4 separate regions of the Mus musculus genome follow, and regions 1, 2 and 3 are each reported to be linked to region 4. Evidence: microRNA targets listed by miRTarBase, many of them from high-throughput screens and not tested one by one. Region 4 holds a microRNA gene; each other region holds the end of a gene's coding sequence. Distances are from middle to middle.
Evidence for each region. Region 4 holds the annotated microRNA mmu-miR-574-5p (UGAGUGUGUGUGUGUGAGUGUGU, at 2,467-2,489, opposite strand). A microRNA usually pairs through its seed, bases 2 to 8, with sites in the 3' UTR of a target mRNA and lowers its output. Matches are read on the target gene's strand: a 7mer-m8 pairs with bases 2 to 8, a 7mer-A1 pairs with bases 2 to 7 and ends in A, and an 8mer does both.

Region 1: miRTarBase lists Ppp1cb as a target of mmu-miR-574-5p. Seed matches in the 3' UTR shown: 7mer-A1 at 982-988.
Region 2: the mRNA of Mrap2 is a reported target of mmu-miR-574-5p. Seed matches in the 3' UTR shown: 7mer-m8 at 3,420-3,426.
Region 3: miRTarBase lists Tbc1d5 as a target of mmu-miR-574-5p. Seed matches in the 3' UTR shown: 7mer-A1 at 3,300-3,306.

The regions. Positions count from the first base shown.
Region 1 is chr5:32,490,442-32,494,502 of GRCm38, reverse strand. It overlaps Ppp1cb (protein phosphatase 1 catalytic subunit beta), which reads right to left. Exons shown (of 8, transcript NM_172707.3): 8 at 791-3,549. The coding sequence ends at 3,445. Among named protein-coding and RNA genes, the nearest start is that of Ppp1cb, 34 kb to the right of the region's middle.
Region 2 is chr9:87,182,260-87,186,320 of GRCm38, reverse strand. It overlaps Mrap2 (melanocortin 2 receptor accessory protein 2), which reads right to left. Exons shown (of 5, transcript NM_001177731.1): 5 at 2,276-3,880. The coding sequence ends at 3,490. Among named protein-coding and RNA genes, the nearest start is that of Mrap2, 40 kb to the right of the region's middle.
Region 3 is chr17:50,732,345-50,736,405 of GRCm38, forward strand. Tbc1d5 (TBC1 domain family, member 5) reads right to left here. Exons shown (of 22, transcript NM_028162.4): 22 at 783-3,900. The coding sequence ends at 3,601. Among named protein-coding and RNA genes, the nearest start is that of Gm41598, 56 kb to the right of the region's middle.
Region 4 is chr5:64,968,751-64,972,816 of GRCm38, reverse strand. Mir574 (microRNA 574) reads right to left here and starts at 2,499; the gene lies at 2,422-2,499. Fam114a1 (family with sequence similarity 114, member A1) reads right to left here and starts at 2,742. Exons shown (of 14, transcript NM_026667.3): 1 at 2,673-2,742. It also overlaps a transcript of Tlr6 not described here.

The DNA of each region.
Region 1 (4,061 bases), 32 Mb from region 4:
ACTGGAGTGTGGGTTGGGCTCTAGATGGGTTTAGGGTTGAACACTAAAATAGTCAGTCACTTAAACTATTTTAAACTTAAACTAGCCTCCCCCACAACTCCCATATGTGGTTAAGACAGGGTCTTTTGTAGCTCAGTCTGGCCTTAGAATTCCTGATCATCCTGCCTCCAACTGCTAAGATTATAGGTGTGTGTCACTACAGCTCACAGTAAGATTGTTTTTAAGCAGGGGCTGGAGTTAAGAGCACTTGTTGCTCTTGCACAGGATCCAGGCTGCATTCCTAACACCCATGATGACTCACAACATCCATACATCCAATTCTAGAAGATTCAACACACCCACCAGGCACCCATGTGGTGCACACACATACACACAGGCAAAAGCACTCATATACATTATATAAATGAGTAAATCTTAAAAGACAAAAAACAAAACACAACTTTCTGAAGCAGCAAGTAGCTTAATTTGTTATGCTAAACAGGTTCATGAGTTCTGCCACAGATAGTTTCTAAGGCATTTTTAGAAGCTACCAGTTATAGAGGGTTATAAACTAACACGGCTGTTCTAACCCAGCATGGATCCCACCTACAGTGTCAGCACTCACAGAGCTAAGGCAGGAGACTAGAGCTGGAAGCCAACCTAGACTTGGCTGTTTTAACCCAGCATGGATCCCACCTATAGTGTCAGCACTCATGGAGCTAAGGCAGGAGACTAGAGCTGGAAGCCAACCTGGACTTGACTCTGTCTCTAAACAAACAAAAAAACAACGACAAAAACAGTGACAACTGCTCCAATCAAAAAACTCATTTTATTTGCTCAACACTTAATAAAAAAATCCTTTAAACATTTTATTTTTATGTGTATGAGGATTTTGCCTATATGTATGTCTATGTACCCACCATGTGTGCCATGTGTGTGCCTGGTGCCCTCAGAGGGCATAAAACAGCAGATCCCCTTGGCTTAGCCATACAGACAGCCTTCTGAGTGTTAAGAATAGAACCCAGGGTGTGGGGGACTTTTGAGATAGCATTGGAAATGTAATTTGAGGAAAATACGTGTAAAAAAAAAAAAAAAGAATTGAACCCAAATTCTCTGCAATTGCTTGTAGCTTTTCATCTAGTAAACAGACACTGTAACATGTAGTCTAGGCTTCAAGTCATAGATTCACCTGTCTCTGTCTGCCTCACCAATCATGGGGTTAAAGGTAGCCTGTATTTTACTGTTTGTCTTTGTGACTTTGTCAGTAAACTAGTATAATTAATAATCTGTGTTATCATTCTTAGGAGCACATGATGTACTGAGTACTTATATATGAGAAGCTGTAAAGTAGTTTTAAGAGGTCTGAATAATTTTCCAACATGGTAAATGTCTATCCTTTAACAACCAATACTAATTTGCTTACTTTTCGCCCCTAGTTTTAATTTGAATGAACATTTACAAAAAACAAAACAGTTTAAGATACAAATTAGTGTACATTAACTAATATTGAGACTAAGGCTTATTTTCTTGAGCTACCTTAAGTATTGATTACTCAGAGATAACATCTAAAATCCTATTAGCAATTGTTTGAGTAAACAATTGTTCGTTTACTCTAGTATGTAAGTTATCCAATCGCATTAAATAAAAGCATGTGTGACCTAATAGAACATGGCTACAGCTCAGAGACTGTCTATGCTTCAGTCTATGTCAACTTGTGCTTACATATCTCACTGTAAAACAAAACAACACAGAATAATCACTCAGACGTTGTATCAATTAGACAACTTTTACTAAATGAGAAAACTACATTTAAAATGTGCTTTAAACAAAATGGAATTAGAAAAAAAAAGACATATGCATTTTAAAGAACTTTTGCACTGTGCTGAAAATCAAATGTTACTTGCAGTAATATAATGTGTCAATCCATAAAATGTTAACAGAGTTCTCAATTTAACACTTTCAAGGACGCTATAAGGTTTCACACATCTATGGTAACACATAAGAAGGGCATTATATAAACATTATGTCCATCCTATGAAGCGTACGAATTTGACAATGTTCAATAAAAGACTTTAGAATCACATCCAATAAGTGTCACATCCAAAGAATCATAAGTCTGTGTATGCTCTTAGTTCCTCCTCCTTCTAAAATCTTTGTTGACTTTGCTACTCCTTGACATTTGTTAATGCTAACCCTTAAAAAAAAAAAAAAGAGAACAGGGAAAGAAATAATGCAATAAACTCTTGATCACATACAGAAATTATTGCTACTATACTTCACTACAAAGCATGTCTATACACATCATGACCTTTGATTATGAAAACGCAGAGTAAAAATCTTTAGTGACATAGCCTTACAGTCAAAACAACATTCACATGGCAATTATTAGTGAAGCACCCAATATTCAGAGCTGACAAATGTCCCACTGACCAGCGTTCATTTAAATACATCCTTCACATAGAGAGAGGGAAAGAAGAGAGCCAGCTATCCAAGGCTTGTCAAAAAGGATTCTCATGTTCTGTGAATCTAAAAACAAACAAACAACAAAAACCCCAAAAAACAAAACCAATGCAGGTGAGGGTAATACCAGAAAGTTAAGCATGCCAAAAGGTGTTTCGTGCGAATTAGAACCCAAAGCCAAAGTACCACATAATCACATTACCAACTAGTTTTGGATATTACTATATGAGCCTTATCTTAAATGAAATGCTACTGCACAATAGAGCATCAATAAATTAAAGATTAGAGTGCACAAATCCAAATCAGTGGCAATTTTGTAAAAAGCGAAATACTCATTATCAGCTGCAAAGTTTGCCCAGTCAAACTGTTTGATTAAAATCAATGGATCAGATAGTTTGTATATTTTTAAAACCTATCGACCTCTAAAGTTCCTTTTTACTGTAATGAGGGGTAAGTTTTCTTAGTAAGATCCAACAGTTACTTAAGTAGATAAGTAAAGGAAAAGAATAGTTGGTGAATGTCTTTAAAGCTCTTCCCATTTTCACTTTTAAAAATGTTTAGGGAAAAATAGGAAAAGTAGATGCCATTATTCTAGCAAAAACAAACAAAACAAAACAAGCTCAAAATAATGAAACAACCAAGCACCACTAAAACCACATTACACAGATGGATCTTCATGCTTTCATCTGGGTCACTAACAGGGCTAGTTTAACTGGGATGCTTTTCAACTTTAAAAACTGTGATATGAGAAGATAGAACTTTAATGGATACTTTTGAATTTGGATTTAATTTTGTTGAATATTATAACAGAGTATACTTATTACAATACAGTGTAGCACATCTTTCTATTAGAAAAAAATTTAAGATCCTTTACCGTCTCCTTAAGTTAAAGGTGTGACATCATAAAGGGTGTCGAATGGCTGGATGGTTTTACAGTGCACACTTATATATTATGAAGTATGTCCTTAACAAATCTGATGGTTTCTCTTTCTAGAATTCCTGTCTTCACCTTTTCTTCGGTGGATTAGCTGTTCGAGGCGGAGTGACAGGACGTCCAGAATTCAGCCCACCATACTGGTACTTAGCTTTCTTTTCAGATGGTTTCAATATCTTTAAATAAATAAATAAATAATGTGTTTATTAACAATATTATTCTTTCAATAAATGCCATCAACTGTCCAGTGAAAATAAAAATACCTTAGCAATTCTGCACAAACATTTCTTAGATTGAAGTGTAAGTTTGGCCGAGCAGCTCAATAGGAAGTGCCTGGATTTGGTCTGCAGCACCGCCCTCCCCCAAGGAAGAACACTTGCTTAACATTTGCTTTAGATTCTAGAAACACAGCTTAGATAGACAGCCTCATAACTGAGGCTTAAATTTAAGTTTTAAAGAATCTTCTCTACTAGTTCACCTTATTAGAGAGGAAAAAATACTGGTCTGAGTCAAAAACCCTAGGTTCTCATCTAAATCTGACCTTTCCCCCAGGTTTTTTGAGATACGCTGTTGGTGTAGTCAGGCCAACCTCAAATTTGTGGCAATCCTTCTGCCTCACCATTTTGAATGTTGAGATTATAGGCGTAAGCCACTGTATATTTCATATACAGGTAAGTCTTACTTAAAG
Region 2 (4,061 bases), not on the chromosome of region 4:
ACTTCTCCAACAGATCTTCCCGTGCATGGCTCTAAGCCAGAATTCATTTTCCTCCCAGATGTCCCACCTTCCATTCCCTGTCTGAACCATAGGCCATCAGTTTTTTAATTGACAGGTGATGCATCCATACGATACACAAGCTATTCTCTCTACAGGGAATTAGCTGTCTTGAATAAGCCAAAGTGGAAAAGAGACAAGGTAATTCTTCATGGAGAAACAGACTGGTAAATACTCAGCTAATGCCACATTCACCCACTGAACGACAAAGGACCAATCCAAAAGTAGAGTACTAGGCTTAGAATATAGAGTCCACTGCTGTGCTACCATGAATGTGCCCAGTTTTGTCTGACCTTGGAAGCTTGGCATCAGGCTAGGTTAATTCTTAGGTGAGGAGGGAATATCACCACAAGCTACAGCCTTGAAGCCTAGTGGAATTGCCACCCTTGGGGTTTAGAAATTTTTTGGTCCCTTGTGACCCATGAACAGAAATTTTATATTCTGTATCTTAGACTTGTAATATCAAGGGACCAAAAAAAATGTCTTCTAGTTCTATAGGTCTGTAGATGGAGATGACTTTCCCCAAGACTCACTAACATCTGGCTTAGATGGCTAAAATAATGACAATATGCAGCTTGGAGTTGATACTGTAATGGATTGCAACGCTAGCATTTTGAAATAACTTTATTTTACATGGAGGATGAGCTAGGCCAAGGAAGACAGGGAAGAAAGGCTGCTGGCTCTCAATATGTCCATATCTTGTCTCTGGAAACTAGTTCTGTGTTACCTTTCATGACAAAGGGGACTTTGGCAGATGAGATCAGGAAGAGACCTGACATGAGTTATCCTCGGTAATCCAATGTAACCACCAGAGTCTTGGCAAGGAGGACACAGGGCCGTCAGAGGCAGAAAGCAAAAGAAGAGCTCACAGTGACATGAGGTCACGATCCACAGATTGAGCCACCTGTAGAAACTGATGAAGGCAAGAAAATAGATTTTTCCAGAGCCTCCTATGTTAGCTTTCTCTGAAAGAAATTAATGAAAAGTGTATTTGGGCTCATGGTTTCAGAGACCTCAAATCCATGGTCATTTGGTGCATCCTTTCTGGGCCAGTGGAAGTACAGCATGACTGCAAGAGTGTATAGAGAAGGAGACTGCTCACCTCATGGTGACCAGGGCACAGAAGGGTCAGCAACGAGACCCAGCTTCCCAAAGCATGCCAACAACTAGGTTCTCTGCCTCTATGTTTCTGTCACTTCTGTTAGTCCATTAAACTAGGAACCCATTAACTAATCCATAATGAGCTCAGAGCCCTTTAGATCCAATCATGGATTAGATTCTTCTGGGATTCTTGCCACCTATGGTCTTTGCTATGCTGGGGACCAAGTCCCCAACCCAGGAGCCCTGGGAGGATATGGCACATCCAAACCAGAACTTTTCTAGATGGAACACAGCCAAGTTAATACTTTGTTTTTAGCTATCTGGGAATGGTTTTAGACTTGTGTACTAGGATGATAAGAAGTTCATGTTGTTTAAAGACATATAACAGCATGAAAAATTAACAGCAATGGAAAATTAACTCAGAACCAACATCCCTGTGATGCACCTGTAGCCTGCTGGACTGGCTGAACAGAAGTTCTTGGTCTTGCTCAGAAATCTTGTGTCTGCTGGAAGCATTTAGGGGACTGAGAGAGCCTAGCCTCTTCACTTGTAAGAGGTTGTAAAGTATTCGGTTTTTCATGATCCTTAACATTCAGTACTTAAAATTGTGATAACTCAGGGACTTTCTTCTGTTTAGGACTCCAGGTCTTCTTCTAGCTAATTAACTTCACAATATGGTGTCTCTTGAATAGTTTTCATGAATAATTAAGAAGTAGTTCACGATGTGTATTTATATATAGTTGAAAGAATTACGCTAATACTCGGGCAGATTAGTAAGATCAATATTGTTGCATTGGGTAAAAATATACATGAAGGAAGCATGTCTCTATCTGTAAGAACTCAAAGTGGCTTTAATGATACTATAGTAACTAGTTCATGTTCTGCTCTACTACTTCATGTTACTCTCTTAAAGAATCATACTTCCTTTTGAAGACATTATGGGAAAGGGATTTCCTTGGGTGGACTTGTTCCCAAACGAATCGCCTGTGTGGCTCTGAGACGCCGTCAGCACACACACTCTCTCAGAAATCAGGGAGATATTTAGGCACAGCATAGGATAGCTTTTTAGAGGAATGGAAACTTGCCTGTGTGAAAATCAAAGCAGAGAAAATTCCTGTGCGATCAAATGCATTTATTATGCAACTTAAGCAAGACAAAGGGTGAACAAATTCGTAAAGTAGATGCCACCCATCGATTAGCAGCTGCTCATGCATACAACTCTCTGTGTGCAAGGCTGAGTTCTTTCCGACACCAGCAAAGGGTTGCTTCCTCCACGAAATGAACATCATGTTGCTCAAATTATCATCGCAATCCTGAACATCTGCTACTGTGGCACAAACAACCCACTGACCCTCTCAGCTCCAAGCCAGGCAGCCGACACCCACACATCTGCCACGCAGACCATGGCAAGGAGCGTCTTGTTCTGAAGCCAAAGAGTTCAGAAGCGCGAGCACAGGATGCAAACTCGGAGACACCGAGAAGGGACCCACATCAGGCAGATGACAATCTGCCCTAGCAGTTTTTGAGAGCACGGATGCTTGTGAAACAGTTTAGGCTGGTACTCACTGGAGTCAAAGCTGCCCCAGTTTAAAGCCGGGGTGGGTGGAGTTCATCACATAAACTGCTGCGGCAAAACTCGCAGAGACACTGTCCACAGTGCATGTGAGGCTCCTGTGCTCCTGGTAAAGGTTTCCCTAGCTAAAGTGAGACTCTGTGAAGGGCTGAGCAAAGGGAGGGTACCAAGCCCTGGAGAACCTGCCCTGAAAGCCAGGGTGCCATGTTCTATTATCTACTGTTTATGTGTTTCTTAGCATGTCTTAAACGCTAAGTCTGAAAGCCACAAAAATTCTAGAGCTGGGATAGGTCATCTACTCCAGACAGGCCACCTTACATGTAAAACCATGGCAGTCCAGAGAGGTAAAGCAACTTGTTACAGGCAGAGAATGGTGGGAAAGGGCTAGATCAGACTGCAGTAACCTAACCCTCACCCAGGAGGGGGCTCAATTGCATATATGTGGCTAATTGTTTCAATAAAGAAGCCTTAATACTGTCAATGCATTTTTTTAATCCAAAAAAGAAAAATATCATCTCCCCCAAACCAAAATGGTGCCTTCCATCTCCAAATTCTGCCCCTCTATCACATCCCAGTCCTAGCCTAGTCCTCTCCCCCTCCCTCACCTCCTCTCTCTCTCTCTCTCTCTCTCTCTCTCTCTCTCTCTCTCTACACACACACACACACACACACACACACACACACACACGAGTGTGGGTAGCTTGCGGTTTCTTGCTGTACAGAGACAGAACACATCCTCAGTAAGGCACAAGTGTCTCTCAGTCCAGGTCTATGCGTGATGTCTGGGAAACTGGCTTGTTTTCTAGAAGAACGGGTGCTTCCGAAATCAGGAGATCATCCTCCCCAAAGGAGCTCTGCTCTGTGTTCACAAAGTTGGGGATGTCAAACTTCATGAACCTGGCTAGCTCCTCCTCAGGCCTCCCACTGCTTCTGCTGGCTTCCTGGAGGTGGACATCACTGTCGATGGCTGTTGTTTGGTGGCAAACTTTAACCCTGTCCAAGTGTTCTACTTCATTGATGTAACAGTGGAACAGAGACCTGGACTCCTCGTTGCCCTGACGAGAAAACACCTTGTCTGACTCCAGCGGCTTCCCGAAGTCTGACACAAAGCTGTTCATGCGGAACCTCCTCTCTGAGGACTCCGCGTTGCTGTAAAGAAGAAAAGGAGAGGTCACAGATCTGCCAGCCTACACGCCTACCGCCTCATGCTGTCCTGTGTGGAGGCCAGGCCAGGAGAGTCCCAGAAAGCATCTACTTGGTGTCTCTTAGGTTATGAAGACCAGCATCAGCAGTGAGGCACATCACTTCTGAACACAGACCTCCAGATGGA
Region 3 (4,061 bases), not on the chromosome of region 4:
AAGCCACTCCAACATGGCGTCAGCCACAGAGGCCAGCTGGCAACTGGATAGGCCTCGGTTAAAACCTCCCATGTAGAGGGGCTGTCCTGGGTATGGATGAGCCCTGTGTAATTGCTCTTGTGTTTTGAACTAGGGCAGCCCTGCCTTGCCTGAAGGACTCACCCTTCAAGCCAGGCTCAACCTTTAGCCCAGAAGCAGGAAGGATGGAGAGGAGGCTCAACACGGGAGGAGCCTGTGACAGGAGCCCAATCTGACAGGAAACCCAGGGAACGGCTAGCACTGGCCTAGGATGTTCCTGAGGTAGAAGTGAGAGGTTCAGACCCCAGATCCTCTTAGGTAGAGCTAAGTAGGAAGAAATTCCTGTAGCATTGGTCAGCCGGCTTGTGGCTGCTGGGACATGCTGTGTCCACTGGCTGGCTGGGCTGGGTACACGGTAAGTGACTGCTCATGAACTGTTGTGGGTGGCGGTGGGGGCGGTGGGGGTGGGGGTGGGGGTGGGGGAGGGAGGCTTCTTCCTTCAGCAGCTCCTCCAGAGCCATGACTACTCCTGAAATGGAGCATCATTCCATAACCTTCCCTGGGACAGCAAGGGGTGAGAAGTGAGAAGCACTGGTGTCTTAGCGGTTAGGAAGCAGTCTCAGGAGACTATGAAGGTTGCCCATGCTGTAAAGGAAGGAAATGCTAGTGAGGGCGAGGCATGGCCAACACCAGCCCTGCTGGCCAGGCGCTTCCATGCTCTCCGGACCCCAGAGCTATGTGACTGGAAGAAGTGGATGTGATCCCAGTTCTCAGTAGTCCTTTATTAGTACACATCAAGTGGGCTCGCTCTGCCAAGGAGGCATTTCCTACATCAGTATGAGCTCCGGCACCAAGGCTCGTGAGGACATTGTTGGCACTGCTGGGATATCAACTAGATGAGCCGAGCCTCATGCACCGAAGGAAAACTTCCACACCAGCCTGGTTATAGGAACGACACCTCTTTTCAACAAGAGAGAAGCAGCTTTTGGGCCTAGCATGGAGGAGGCCATGTGATCTGTGAAGAGCCTGCCGCCACAGCTCTCCATGCACATGGCCTCTTCCCCAGCTCTCATTTCCTAGCAGTTCCAGGGTGGGGAAGGGAGATGGCACTGGCCGGTGCAGGGCCACAGGTGCTCCCCGCTTTGTCTTTAGTGGCCACTGGGAGAGCTTTTAGCAAGCAAAAGCAACCTGTACTGAACAGCAGGTTATACTAGAGTTTTGGCATTTGTCCAGCCTTTCTGACACTAAAGACATGGCTGGCAAGGTTGTCCAGCACAGCCAACCCGTGCGGAGGAGATTCACCCCTACGAGAACTGGGCTCCGGGGAGGCAGCTGCCCTCCAGAGTTACACTCAGCAGCAGTGTGGTCACTTCAAGTTGCAGTTAGTGCAGAGCAGAAGGTCATCTTGCCAAGCTAAGCCAGGAAGTTCTCGAGAACTGAACCGAGGCACTGAACCGACCCTCTGTGGCACACAGGTATGTTTTACTTCACACTTCCAATCTGATCAGAGAGGACTGCATGAAACACAGAAATGTGTATAAAAAAGCAGACGACAGTAGGGCTTAATCTAGGCTTGGCTTGTATAAAACTGTATTAGCTGCTATAATCAAAATGTGAGAGATTAAAACTGATGATTACCATGTGGTTAAAGAAAAAGGTTCTATATATCCAGGACTTTAAAATGTACAATTAGACAGAAGTACCTGATAAAATAACAGGGACGGAATGCATCCCAAACCAGCAGTGTAGGTAACCAAGGGAAGCAATGGTCACCAACGAAGAATAGAGTCACTTAGAGAAGAGCTTTCCATCCTTGGTTCTTCCAAGGAGAGAGTGGCCTGCCTAGGGACCATAGAAACATCTCAGTGTGAACCTGGGGTTCTCATGTGGCACCCACACAAGCACAGGAGCGGGGCACATCACGGGCATGGGCAGGGCAGGTAGGTCGAGGGGTTATGAAATGTCCATTCAAACAGTAATGGGTCAGCCTATCATCTTCTTGGCCTGGTGGGTAGCCAGTGATAGTTATCTATTGACCTTATTCTCAACGCAAAGGAGATGCTGGGGACAGGGCTCAGCAGTGACAGACATGGCCGGCACTGTCCCAGACCTGGATGGATCAGTCAATACTTCCCACACTAGATCTAAGGTACTGACACGGTTATGTCAAGGCTTTAAGTGGAATGCTTGCTGGAAGCCTTCTAGCAGGGATGGATGGTGGCCCTGATTCTTACAGAGCAGCTTCATGGGACATGTATGCAAGCAGGCTCCTCAGAATGCTGAGAAGACTGGTCAGAGGCAGGGGGTAGAATTCATGAGGCCATGACTGAGCCCCGCCACCATGTGAGTGAGCCACCAGCCCTGCTATGCAGTACAGCTAAGAAGCCTGCAGAGCATCCTGACATTAGCATTCCTGTCTGTAGAGAATTACAATGCTATTAGTGGGTGGGGCACTGCCCAGAGGCCCAGCTGCTCTCTGAGGAGGACAGAAGGCAGAGGTGACATCTAACAGATGCTACATCTATCCACCATTTCCACTGTCCCTAGCTTTGTGCCCAATACAGCTCTGTACTCGGCCAATAGACGGGGAGATGTCTCATGTATACCCAGCCCAGGCAGGGGCCCCGAGGCAGGCAGGCCCATCCTTGGAGTGTCTGGATGCAGAGTTTACAGCTGAGCTCCAAGAATAGGGTGTTGGGGGTTGAATAGGAGCCCTGTATCTTGTGGTACCTGGAACGCTCTACAGGAAACCTGCTCCCACAGAAGGAACTCCAGGTCTAATTCCCAGGAGGTCTGACTCCGGGTTGTGCGAATGTGGTTTTCCTCTGTGCTCCTCATTTAACAGGCCACTGTAGCTCTAAACATGCTCAGAGACCTGACCGGAGAGCTCTGGACACATTTCTCCAATTCAAGGATGTTAGCCCTGTGACTCTTAAAACCATCTCAGAGCAGACTGGCGTGGAGCCACTGCACTCCCGGCTGTGGGGACTCTGGAAGGAGAAATCCAGTTGTTCAAGGAGGAACAGCGGTGGCTGAAGCTTAGGAAGCCCAGGGTCCAGAACTGTATTTGTGTCAAACAAGAATCTGATTCCTAATCTGAAACCCTGCTCCTACAATTCACTCTGACTCCAGCCCTGGGAGCCACCCGCTCTGCTCCCTCTGTGTGGCATGTTGGGCTTCCAAGGCAGGAGTGAGACTGCCTGCCAGATTCACTCAGTATCAACAAGTTCCCTGTGGCTGAAGCTTTGATAAGGGGAAGTTGTGAAACCAACTTTTCCTTCTGAGTGTAAACTGGCAGAGCTGCTGGGGAGGAGGGGACGGAAGACATGTGGCTCTGATGTGGTCTGCTGTGTCTGACAGTGGGTATGGAGCTGGGGACCTGACCTGGCCCTAATTGGAACAAGGGTCACAGGGTCAGGTAAGGGTCTGGAAACCTCTATCTGCATTTTGGTAAACATAGTGCATTGAAAGAAGCATAGTTGCCTCTTTTTGTAAAGAGTTCCAGTGGGTTGAACCAATGCCAAATGCATGCTGGGAAAAAGACACTGGTTCAGCAGGGTGTCCGCCAGTGGGGCCCTGTGCTCAGATGTCCAAGGGGCTCACAATGGTGAAGCCAGACTCCTTGCTGCTGTCATCATCGGGGCTGGAGCTGGGGTTGCTGGAGGAGGCTGAGGCTGAGGCTGGGCCCATCAGTGGGTCTGAGAACAGCAGTGGGGAGCAGGCTGGGGCTCGGCTTTTCCCAGATGTGCTTCTGAGGGTGAGAAGAGGCTGGGCCTGGCCTGAGAAGGCCCCCCTGGCACGGTGCCCCTCATCTTCTTTGGAAACCAGAATGAAGTCATCTGGGGTCGTTCCACCGGTGCACCCTGGCATCTCTGAAGAGGCCTGTGAAGTAAAAGCAGAGGAGAAGGCCTGTGACTGCAGGGGTGACTGACAGCACTCAACAGAGGCCTGGGTGGAGTGGCATGGAGGCCAGATGGCCATCTCTTCCTGCACCCAGTTTGGAAAGATGCCTGGTTTGTCCTGCTGCTGCTCCGAGGCCTGGA
Region 4 (4,066 bases):
GAGTGCTTGCCTAACATGCACAAGGCACTGGATCTGATTCCTAGCACTGAAAAAATATTAAATTAAAGAGAAAGAAAACTAGAGAAAGAACTATGCAAAACAGCATAATAAACAACGCCCTGAACTAGAGCAAGGGAGAATCTTGACCATGCCTTTGGCATGAGTATTCGGGCTGATGGGAGTATGTGCAAATACCTAGACATCAGAAATGAGCTCTAGAGGGCCATGATACACATCTGTGTGTCTGAGAGCAGAGGCTGCACGGAGGAACAGTGAGTCGGATTCTGAAGTGGAAAGCCCAAACAGTGGCCTCTGGGTCTGACTGCAGTGTCTCTTTGTAGGCAAACAACTCACTCGTTCTCACCGACTTTCAGCTCCCTCCTGTGTGTCAAGCTGGAATGGATAACCTGATCTGGAAACTTTGTTCCCAAGTCCTGACTGCAGAGAAAAATGAAGAGAGGGTTTCAAGATTTTCCTAAGTCTAAATTTATTGGAAGTAATGCTCTGTCTTCATTGGGCCATTTAGCACCGGTGCTTTTCTTGGTATTAAAATGTCACGAAAATGTAGTGACAGTAGATGGCTTCCTTTTTAAGTGGCCTCACTTAAAAATGTGGTTACATGATACTTGTCCCAGATTGTCTCTCTTACTTTACAAAAGTGTGACTCAGAGTAAACTCACAGAGGAGAGGCTCCCAGATCTGTCCAGTTCTCACAGTGCATACACTCTGACTCCAGGCCTGCCTCTATACCTGGCAGGTATTTTTGGAATCACAGAAGACAACTGTATTTGCGCTGTTTATAAACTAAGTGGGGGCTAGAGAGGTGGCTCAGTGGTTAAGAGCACAGGCTGCTCTTCCAGAGGTCTTGCATGGGTTGGGTTTCCAGCACCCACATAGCAGCTCACAACCCTCTATAACTCCAGCTCCCCTCCGGGTGTCGGGGGAGGCAGGGGGTAGCAGAGGGGAGAATCCAATGGCCTCTTCTGGCCTCAGTGGGCACTGCATATACATGGCCCACAGACACACATATGCAGGCAAAACACCCACTCACCCACACGAACAAACAAATACTAACACGAGTGTTTGTGTGGCCCTTCACAGTCCACACAACTCTATCTCTTGCAACTCAGCACTTAAACTTTTGTTCCCCTCAGCACTGGTCCTCTCTCTTCACACTGCTCCTAAACCTCCAGGCTGGCTGCCTGTACTGATGCTTTGTCTTCTGGTCAGGCCAATTTCGGTTTCCATGACTACCCAGCATCTTAGTGTCATCCTTAACTTTGAAGTTGATCTTTGTCTACTCCATATCCTCCTAAAAATTTAACTGCTCCTGTTTCTCTTCTTCTGAGACTTCCACAGACTTCTCTAATGCCTTTGGAAGACTCGTCTATGTCACCCTTCAAGCCTGTGAACCACGAGCCCTTGCTTCGTTCTGACCCACAAATATTTACTCAACTGATATATACTGTGTTTGATATTGATTTGAACGAAAAACGATGTCTCACATAAGCCTGCTCTGATGAAAGAAATAACTACTTACACTTCTGAATCCCCAAGATTCAGGAAGCCCCCCACCCCCTAACACCCCGCCCCCCACCCCCCACCCCCCGTCCCCAAATTCCTTCTACACTGGCTAACTTGTGCTTCAAATCCCACCCTTGGAGTTTCATTCCATCGCTGGCAGCTTTCAATGTAAGAAGTTTAATCAGAACATTTCAGGATTGATAGAGGAAATGGAGGAGAGAGTCTAGGATATGGGCTGGGGAGGAAAGAACTCTAGGAAGCCAGGTGAGCTAAGAGAGGCTTCTCGGAATGACCTTGTTTCTCTTGTTCTGGTGTCCCAGGGAGGAGTTCAAGGACTGCTGATTTAAAAAGCCATCAGCTTCTATCAAGAGGTTCAGGGGTGGACACTGATGGTATGGCCCAGAGAGTGCTCCCATAGTCTGCCGAAAGTCCTCCTTCTTTAAGAAAAGCCAGTGAAATCCAAGTGGGGACTGACTGACAGCTGGGAAATACTCACCAGATTCCTCGGAGAAGACAAGCTGGCTGGGTAAAGGGGCTGCCTTTGGGGTGGGGAAGAGGGGGCCCAAGAGGGTCCTGGGAATGCAAACGGTGCTAGCTTAAGGTGTTTCAGGGGGGCAGGAGCGCAGGCATGCTGGGTGTGGGGCATGCCAGGGAAAGATGATGGATCAGGATGGAGGTCAAGGCCTGTGCTCGGTTTTCCCAGGGGGAGGACAAGCTCACCCTAGGAATGGAGGTCTTTGACTAGCAAGAACTGGATCCCTCAGAGCGTCGCGCTGGGAGGACCCTACAGCCCACCCCAGACTTGGGACACTTGGGGAAACTTTCCAGACTGGCTTGTGCCTAGCCTCTGGCAGCGGACTCCACGGAGCTCCAGGCCGGACGAGGGTGCAGACCGGGCGTGCGGGCGTGTGGGTGTGTGCATGAGCGTGGACTTGGAGCGACACACACTCACACACACACACTCACACGCCCGCACCCACGCAGGGCCCTCGGCCGCGTCTCCCCCGACCTTCGTGCCCAAGCAAGTTGCTTTCTCGGGACGGTTCCCCGCCGGTGATTTCTCACACCCTACAGCGGACAAGGGTCGCGGCGCGCTGGTCCCCTCCCGCCCGGGAAGGGGATGGGGAGAGGGCGCCCCGGGCTCTTACCGCTTGGCCGGCCGAGTGCGCGCGGGAGTCCCGGGTCCCGCCCCGCCACGTCGGCAGGACCGGCGGGGACGCGGCCGCAGGGGAGGGACCGGCCAAGCTGCCCCGCCCCGGGCCGCCCTCCTCTGCCTCTGCCCGGCCCCACTGCACCCTGACCTGCTGCGAACTCCGAACTCCGCCGTCCCAGATCGGTGGTCGGGGCAGAGCGCGGGGTCCCCTGCCTTCCATTACGAAGCACTGGGGAAGCCCTGCAGGTTGTAAGGAGTCCCCTAGCCTCACCGTGGGATTTCCCGGTTCTAAATTAGGTGGAATTCTCTGACCACGTCAGCGATGGGAGTGGGATGTGATTAGAAACAAAAGTAAAAAGACTCAAAGGAGCCATGCTTTCTAGAAGGCCAGCTTGGAAATGTGGATCAAAGCCCAAATTCATTCTCTTTGGCCTGGGCATTGCACATCTGCGTTTGGCGTGGAAAATGTATTTGTCCAAAGCAAACAAAATCTCCCCTCCCCTCCCCTCCCCTCCCTGATGGCAGCAGGGGGTAGGGTAGGGTGGGGCGGAATGGGATGGGGTTTGCACCACGTAGTTTCTCCGTGTCGCCCTGGCTGTCCTAGATCTCACTCTGTAGACCAGGCTGGCCTTGTACTCAGACCTCTGCCAGCCTCTGCCTAGGATTAAAGGTATGCGTCTCCAAGGTTTGACTGGTCACCATTTCTCATGCGCGCCCCCTTTCTGGTTTTCTCTTTGTAAGCTGCTCTCTCTTTTTAGGCAGCTTCCGTTTGTGTGTGTTTCTTTCCTTTGAGGAGTTGCTTGTGCATTTCTGTGCAGTTGCAAACAATAAACACCTGTTAGAATAGAACTTTGTGTGCTTGGGGGGACTTTTCACCACCCTGGAGTTCTTAATTTTAAGTAGTCAGTTGTTGGTGTAACTTATATGCTTGAGCCAGGGAGTGGCACTATTAGGAGGTGTGGCCTTGTTGTAGTGGGAGTGGCCTTGGAGTAGGTGTGTCACTGTGGGCATGGACTTAAGACCCTCATCCTATGGACTGCCTGAAAGGCACTGCTCTGCTAGCAGCTTTCAGATGAAGACTTAGAACTCTCAGCTCCTCCTGCACCATGCCTGCCTGGATGCTGCCATGCTCTCGCCTTGATGATGATGGACTGAACCTCTGAACCTATAAGCCAGTTCCAATTAAATGTTGTCCTTATAAGAGTTGACACGGTCATGGTGTCTGCTCACAGCAGTGAAACCCTAAGACAGTTGACTTCTGCTAGTTTGTTGCTCTTTTCTTTTTTCTTTTTAGGAAGATGAGAAAAAATGTTCAGAGTGGGAGGGGCTCTGAGTGGGGCCATTCAAGACTGATAGTTTTGGATCTCTAAGCTAGTTCAGGTATTTGCA